Linked DNA regions of Callithrix jacchus. The protein of the gene in region 1 interacts with the protein of each later gene in a pairwise test. Links are inferred from orthologs where the notes say so. Each region holds a gene or a part of one and is shown on either strand. Other genes may lie near its edges. The genes, in order: CASP10 and RIOK3.

Region 1 (4,321 bases):
GGTAGATCACAAGGTCAAGAGATTGAGACCATCCTGGCCAACATGGTGAAACCCTGACTCTACTAAAAAATACAAAAATTAGCTGGGTGTGATGGCACGCACCTGTAGTCTCAGCTGCTCAGGAGGCTGAGGCAGGAGAATCACTTGAACCCAGAGGCAGAGGTTGCAGTGAGTTGAGATCACACCCCAGTCTGGTGATAGAGCAAGACTCCATCTCAAAAAAAGAAAAAAAGAAAAAAAAGCAAGTGTTCAGTATTGTTTTATTAGAAATAATGTCTTCAAAGTCTCTTTTTTTCTGGTTTGAATGTGCTGTGAGAACATGCACTGTCAGTTTTGTCTACCATTAATTGGTTGAGTCTCTTGCAGATACCTCCAAATGGGCTTGTAATTCACCATCCCCACTTTTCTTTTTTTTCCCCTTTTCTTTTTATTTCTTAATTTCTCCCACAAAGACTGAAAGTGAATCCCCACTTTTCTTTTATCATTTAAAAATTTTATTTATTGGCTGAGTGTGGTGGCTCATGGCTGTAATCCCAGCACTTTGGGAGGCTGTAGTGGGTGGATCACGAGGTCAGGAGTTCGAGATCAGCCTGGCCAGCATGGTGAAACCCTATCTCTACTAAAATACAAAAAAATTAGCCTGGCATAGTGGCGTGTGCCTGTAATCCCAGCTACCTGGGAGGGTAAGGCAGGAGAATTGCTTGAACCCAGGAGGCAGAGGTTGCAGTGAGTGTAGATTGCACGATTGCACTCCAGCCCGGGTGACAGAGCAAGACTCAGTCTCAAAAAAAAAAAAAAATTATTTGTTTATTTGCATGTGGACTAAGGAAAGGGTTAACTTGACTTTATTTGAAAAGTTAAGTGTTTGGGGAAGGAGATGATTAGAAAAATAGATGCTTCCCATTTTTTTCTTTTCTTTTTTTTTTGTTTTGTTTTTATTCTTTTCCCACCAACTATAGATAGATTCCCTTTTTGACTTAACAAGAAAATGGAGATCCTAAGGAAAGCCTGGAGGACTTCATGGCTTCCGTGGGTTCATTTCTAGGAAGATTTCGCTTTACATGGGGAAACCCCAAGCTCTACAGTGAGAAAGTTGTAAATTAGCCTTTAGGAGACGCTGTTTGTCAGTTATCTTAAGCCTGGAAAAGGGGAGGGAAAAAGCCAAATAAGCAGTGACGACATTGGCAGGAAATCAGTATCAGGCTACCCAGCCCAGTAGGATCCAGTTTTCACTTCAACAGCCAGCAAGTCTTGAAGTCTCTTCCCGCGAAATTGGGAGCTTCCTTGGACCTTGGAGCACATAGAGGATTCTACTTTCTTTAAAATTTTGTTTTCAGGCAATTTCCCTGAGAATCGTTTACCTCCAGAGGATTGGTGGAGCCTGATCTGAAGGTATGTAATTAAATACCACAGAGTCTCATGCTTGGATCTTTTCCTTTGCTTCATGGCTTCATGTTGTAGAAACTTGCAAAAACTTGTCAGCAATGGTATTATTTCTGCTTAGATTTCTTTGCCATGCCTGGGAAAACAAAAGTTCAAAAATCCAGAAGCCTCCAACATAGCCTTTTACCGGCAGAAATATGTTAGTTCCCGGAGACAAAGTGTGGCAGACTCATTAAAACTAGAAATTGGAATTGTCAAGAAACCACAAGGCAAATGTAAGATGTGGTAGAATAGAAACAGGTCCAGGAAACCACTCATTTGACCTCAGGGCTAGCAGCAGGGAAGATCCCCTGGATCATCACATTTAAAATGACATTTTTTGTTTCTTTTTTTTGAGACAGAGTTTTGCTCTACCTCCCGGGTTCAAGTGATTCTCCTGCCTCAGCCTCCCAAGTAGCTGGGATTACAGGCATGCACTGCCATGCACCGCTAATTTTTGTATTTTTAGTAGCGACGAGGTTTCACTATGTTGATCAGGCTGGTCTTGAACTCCTGACCTCAGGTGATCTGCCCACCTCGGCCTCCCAAAGTGCTGGGATTACAGGCGTGAGCCACCATTTTTTGTTTCTTTTAACACTGAAATTAATGTGTATGTTCATGTATAAATAAAATTTGAGAAATTCAGTTGAAAGCCCAGGAGAAAATTTGTATTATCTCTAGTTATGCCATCTCGATATAACTACTCCTTATTATGGAGGTTTTGATTTTTGCTATGTGTTTCTTCCTTCTTTCCTTCATTTATTTATTTAATTGAGACGGAGTCTCGTTCTTTCACCAGGCTGGAGTACAGTGGCACAATCTTGGCTCACTGCAACTTCCGTCTCCCAGATTCAAGCAATCCTCTCACCTCAGCTTCCTAAATAGCTGGGACCACAGGCACCACCACACCTGGCTAATTTTTGTATTTTTTAAGAGACAGGGTTTCACCATGTTTCCCAGGCTTGTCCTAAACTCCTGGCCTCAAGTGATCCACCTGCCTTGGCCTCATGAAGTGCTCCTCTGATTATAATGAAATTTAGTACAGAGAATACAGTAGTTTATAAACTAGTCAGATGGAAACATTGACTCATGTAATTTTCAACTTCCTACATTGATTTGAGCAACTCTTGTCTAAAACCATTCTTTCCTTCTGAGGTCTAGCAGTTTTTTTGTTTGTTTGTTTGTTTGTTTGTTTTTTGAGACAGGGTCTCCCTTTGTCACCCAGGGTGGAGTGCAGTGGCATGATCATGGCTCACTGGACCCTCCACCCCCAGGGCTCAAATGATCCTTCTGCCTCAGCCTCCTGAGTAGTTGGGACCACAGGTGTGCACCACCATGCCTGGCTAATTTTTGTATTTATTGTAGAGACAGGGTTTTACCATGTTGCCCAGTCTGATCCCGAACTCCTGGCTGGGGTTATAGGTGTGAGCCACTGCACACTGCCTGTTCCTTCCTTTAGAAAGTAGTTTCCTGTTTCTAAAAATAGCGAAGTTCTGCATAATGACTATATACCTCAAGTGCTTATAGAATAAATAATATTACAATGAAAATGTTATCACTGCATTGCTCCTCTGATTATAATGAAGTTTAGTATAGAGGATACTGTAGTTTATAAACTTGTCAGATGGAAACATTTATTTACGTAATTTTTTTTTTTTTTTTTTTTTTTAGTAAAAACAAATGTATTAGATAAGTAAACAAAAGAATGGCTACTCCATAGACAGAGCAGCCGACCCATGAAATTTTTTTTTTTATTTTTTATTTTTTATTGGATTTTAGGTTTTGGGGTACATGAGCAGAGCATGCAAGAAAGTTGCATAGGAATACACATGGCAGTGTGCTTTTCTTTCCTTCTCCCCTTCACCCACATTTGGCATTTCTCCCCAGGCTATCCGTCCCCACCTCCCCCTCCCACTGGCCCTCCCCTTTTCCCCCCAATAGACCCCAGTGTTTAGTACTCCCCTTTCTGTGTCCATGTGTTCTCATTTTTCATCACCCGCCTATGAGTGAGAATATGCGGTGTTTCATTTTCTGTTCTTGTGTCAGTTTGCTGAGGATGACGTTCTCCAGATTCATCCATGTCCCTACAAACGACACGAACTCATCATTTCTGATTGCTGCATAATATTCCATGGTGTGTATGTGCCACATTTTTCCAATCCAGTCTATTATCAATGGGCATTTTGGTTGATTCCAGGTCTTTGCTATTGTAAACAGTGCTGCAATGAACATTCGTGTACATGTGTCCTTATAGTAGAACAATTTATAGCCTTTTGGATATATACCCAGTAATGGGATTACTGGATCAAATGGAATTTCTATTTCTAAGGCCTTGAGGAATCGCCACACTGTCTTCCACAATGGTTGAACTAATTTACACTCCCACCAACAGTGTAAAAGTGTTCCTTTTTCTCCACATCCTCTCCAGCATCTGTTGTCTCCAGATTTTTTAATGATCGCCATTCTAACTGGCGTGAGATGGTATCTCAATGTGGTTTTGATTTGCATCTCTCTGATGACCAGTGACGATGAGCATTTTTTCATATGATTGTTGGCCTCATATATGTCTTCTTTCGTAAAGTGTCTGTTCATATCCTTTGCCCACTTTTGAATGGGCTTGTTTGTTTTTTTCCTGTAAATCCGTTTGAGTTCTTTGTAAATTCTGGATATCAGCCCTTTGTCAGATGGGTAAACTGCAAAAATTTTTTCCCATTCTGTTGGTTGCCGATCCACTCTAGTGACTGTTTCTTTTGCCGTGCAGAAGCTGTGGAGTTTCATTAGGTCCCATTTGTCTATTTTGGCTTTTGTTGCCAATGCTTTTGGTGTTTTGTTCATGAAGTCCTTGCCTACTCCTATGTCCTGGATAGTTTTGCCTAGATTTCCTTCTAGGGTTTTTATG
Region 2 (3,818 bases), on another chromosome or scaffold:
CCTTTTGAGACTAAATGGGAGAGGAGTCGGCCGGGAGAATATGGTACAGAAGGAGGTGGGTAGTTTGATTCAGAGTCTGTCCTTTGGAAATACAGTTCCTTTCTTTCCCAGATTAAGATCCTATCAGATATCTAAAGGTAAATATTAATATTGTTTCTCATTCCATCCACCTTTTCATTCCCACTGCCACCATCAAGACTGAAGCTCACTACTGGGGGACTATTGCCAATAGCATCCTGAGTCGACCCCACACCTGTGGCCTCTCCCTGAGCCTTTCCATGCTGACAGTATAATTATTTTGATCTTCATGAAGTGCGCATTTGAGAGAGCCACACTCAGAAGCCCTCACAATTCCCCACCACCTCCAGCAGTTTGTCTAGGCTCTTCACAGATGCACCTCTGTCCCATCCTTTAGCTCCACTTTTTTCATTCTTTCTCCAGCCAAGCCTTAACTATAGTGTTTGTTGTTCATCAGACATGTCCTGTGGTTTCCTGCCTCTGCTTTTGTTCATGCTGTTCAAATCCTACCCATTGTCCTGTTTGTTTCAGATGGCACTTGTGCCATGAAGCCTTGCAGCCTTGCCTGACCTTTCCAGTGAAAAGGGAACTTTCCTATTCATGTACTTCTTTCATTCTCTGCTGCCACTTCTTGTAGACTCATGGGGCAGGAACCCTTTTACTCACATTTATGTCTGCTGGGAGTGAAAGAGTTATTTTTTTAAAAGCTGTTTTATTTATGTTTTTATTGAATTTTGCTCCTGAACATATCAGAGAGACTAGCGTATTTTCAAGTGTGTATGTCTTCATTGTATCTCAAGCTTGATTCCATAGTCATTAAGTAAAGAACATTATGTTACGGATGGTTGAAAATTGGTTGACAATTTATTTGTAAGTATGTTTTATTTAAAAAATCAAACCAAAACCTAAGGCTTTATTAAGATCCAAAACCTAACTTTAAAAAACCAGACTTGACACTGAGAGAAGGTAGATCTAATTTAGTGTTACAGAATCTTTATTTTGAAATTGTTGTTCTTGTGAGCTGGCAACTTATACTGACTTATTTTTTTTATTCCACTTAGCATGGAGGATGAAAAGGAAGATAGTAAAGTTATACCTACAGAATGTGCCATCAAGGTATTTAAAACAACCCTTAATGAGTTTAAGAATCGTGACAAATATATTAAAGATGATTTCAGGTTTAAAGATCGCTTCAGTAAACTAAATCCACGTAAGATCATCCGCATGTGGGCAGAAAAAGAAATGCACAATCTCACAAGGTAAAGAAAATACTGTGGTAGACATCATCTTGGGTAAATACCTTTTTGCATTAGGATAAAAAAATCCATGCTTGCTTCTAAATTCATTTATGGAAATAAAGGCCAGGTGTATAACCTGAATTCATCCTTTTAGGATGAAAAAGCCATTTTCTTTTTTCTTTCCTCAGTAAAACTTGAGGGAAATTGGGGTATTTTCTGCCTTAGACATTTTATCACGTATCTAAATGCCATTTTTAAATTGCTTTTATTAAGAAGTAAAACTTCCAGCATCCAATTAGGCTTTGTATTAAAAAAAGGCTTCTTTTTTGTTTTAGAAAATGTTTATTACATTTAGTTTAATTTTGTGGGAGTAAGTTCTTACCAATCAAATTACATTTTGTTTTAGTTTTTATACTTGTATCTGAATTTTCTAAGTAATTTATTTTCTGTCAGATAATTTATCAACCAAGAAATTCAGTAATAATCCTTCTCATTAAAAACTTTTCCATTATTTTAATCTTTTGAAAGCTTAATTTTAGTTTGTTCTTTTCTAAAGATATTTGCTTTCAAAAGTAATTACTTATATATATTAGTTACAAAATTCCTCTACTGAGAGTTCCTTACTAAAAAAGCCAGGCATGATATGCACATGTACTCCCAGCTACTTGGGAGGGTGAGATGGGAGGATTGCTTGAACCTAGGAGTTCAAAACCAGCCCAAGAAACATAATGAGACATTGTCTCAAAAAATAAAAATAAATAAATTCCAGGTAGAATCATTGTCTAGAAGGTCTTGCTGTTCTCCAATCTCTTTTCTATACTGCTGAGATTCCTGCCTTTCTTAAAATTCTTTAACAGTTTTCTGTAGTGGAGCTTGCCTATCTTTGTAGCCTCAGCCCACGTTGCCCTGCCTGCTACTCACAGACCCAGCTATGTTAATTGATATACATTCCCCAAATGGACTGTGCTCTTGAACACCTCCCTGCATTTCCTGGCACTGTCTTCATCTGGCTAATTCCTGTTCCCCATCTCTTCTTCGAATAAGCCATCCTTGGTGCGGTGCTCCTGTAGCTCCTACCCATACCTCTGCCAGTGCATATGTCACGCTGCATTGTATTTGTCTCTTTACTTGTCTGTCATTTCCATCAGTCCATGAGCTCCCTACAGGCAGAGGCTGTGTTTTATTGTCTTTGTATTCCCACACCACCAGGGTAGAACATAGTGCCAGCTCATTGCAGGCCCTGATTAGATATTTATTGAATAAATGACATATTTTCTCCTTCTGATCTGTATATTCTTAATCATTTCTTTCTGTATAGAATGCAGAGAGCTGGAATTCCTTGTCCAACAGTTGTACTACTCAAGAAACACATTTTAGTTATGTCTTTTATTGGCCATGATCAAGTTCCAGCTCCTAAATTAAAAGAAGTAAAGCTCAATAGTGAAGAAATGAAAGAAGCCTACTATCAAACTCTTCACGTAAGTTGTCCTTCTAAAAGCATTTACGCACTGCCTTTAAAAAATATTTCCTCTAAACTTTAAAAAAATGTCCTTAAAGAAGCCAGGCATGGTGGCTTGCGCCTGTAATCTAGAACTTTGGGAGGCCTAGGCGGGAGGATCACTCGAGCCCAGGAGTTTGAGATCAGTCTGGGCAACATGGCGAAACCCCTTCTCTACTAAAAATGCAGAAATAATAGCTGGTCGTGGTGGCATGCACTTGGGATTCCAGCTACTCATGAGGCTGAGGCAGGGGAATTGCTTGAACCAGGGAGGTGGAGGTTGCAGCAGTGAGCCGAGATCGTGCCACTGCACTCCAGCTTGGGCGACAAAGCGAGACTCTGTTTTAAAAAATTAAAAATTGGCTGTGCATGGTGGCACACACCTGTAGTCCCAGCTACTCAGGAGTCTAAGGTGGGAGGATCACTTGCACCCAGGAATTTAAGGCAGCAGTGAGCTATGATTGTGCCACTGCACTCCAGCTTGGGCGAGATATAGAGCAAGACCCTATCTCTTTAAAAAAACAAACCAAGTTCCTAAAATAGTGCTATTTCAAGGTGCTGTAACAAAAACAAGAAGTTCGTGAAGGAATGTTAACACTGAAGAGTTGTTTTTATATCAATATGTGTGTGTCTTAAATAATTTTAGAAAACTCACAGACTTAACCAGGGAAGTCTTTATTGCTAGGATTAGTGACATAGTACATGAAGCTATATTTCACAAAACTTCATTAAATAAAATTTGCTGTTACTACATTTAGCAGATAAAGTACCTCATTAGTTTGTGTGCTGTCTTGAATGTTATGGTTTTTTGTATTTGTTTTTGTTTTCAAATAAGAGGCAGGGTCTCACAATGTTGCCAAGATTGGTCTCGAACTCCTGGGCTCAAGCCTCCCAGAGTGCTAGGATTACTGGTGTGAGCCACTGCACTCGGCCATTGAATGTTAATAGCTTTAACAGAGAAGGAAAGGAAACAGGTTTGGTCTCATCATAAGAATGTGATGATGGAAACTGAAAATAGTAGGGAGTGCAGATGTTAAGTTGGAAGGCATGTGTCGGGAATCTCG

What was found.
Region 2: the proteins of CASP10 (region 1) and RIOK3 interact in binary tests that used the Homo sapiens proteins (3 or more experiments, as listed by UniProt). The link is inferred for Callithrix jacchus from reciprocal best matches to the Homo sapiens genes CASP10 and RIOK3.

The regions. Positions count from the first base shown.
Region 1 is NC_133507.1:122,267,296-122,271,616, forward strand, and holds the start of CASP10 (caspase-10), read left to right. Parts: upstream 1-1,214; 5' UTR 1,215-1,392; intron 1,393-4,321. UniProt on the Homo sapiens protein: Involved in the activation cascade of caspases responsible for apoptosis execution. Recruited to both Fas- and TNFR-1 receptors in a FADD dependent manner. May participate in the granzyme B apoptotic pathways.
Region 2 is NC_133514.1:66,569,606-66,573,423, forward strand, and holds part of RIOK3 (serine/threonine-protein kinase RIO3), read left to right. Parts: intron 1-1,079; coding exon 1,080-1,277; intron 1,278-2,574; coding exon 2,575-2,734; intron 2,735-3,818.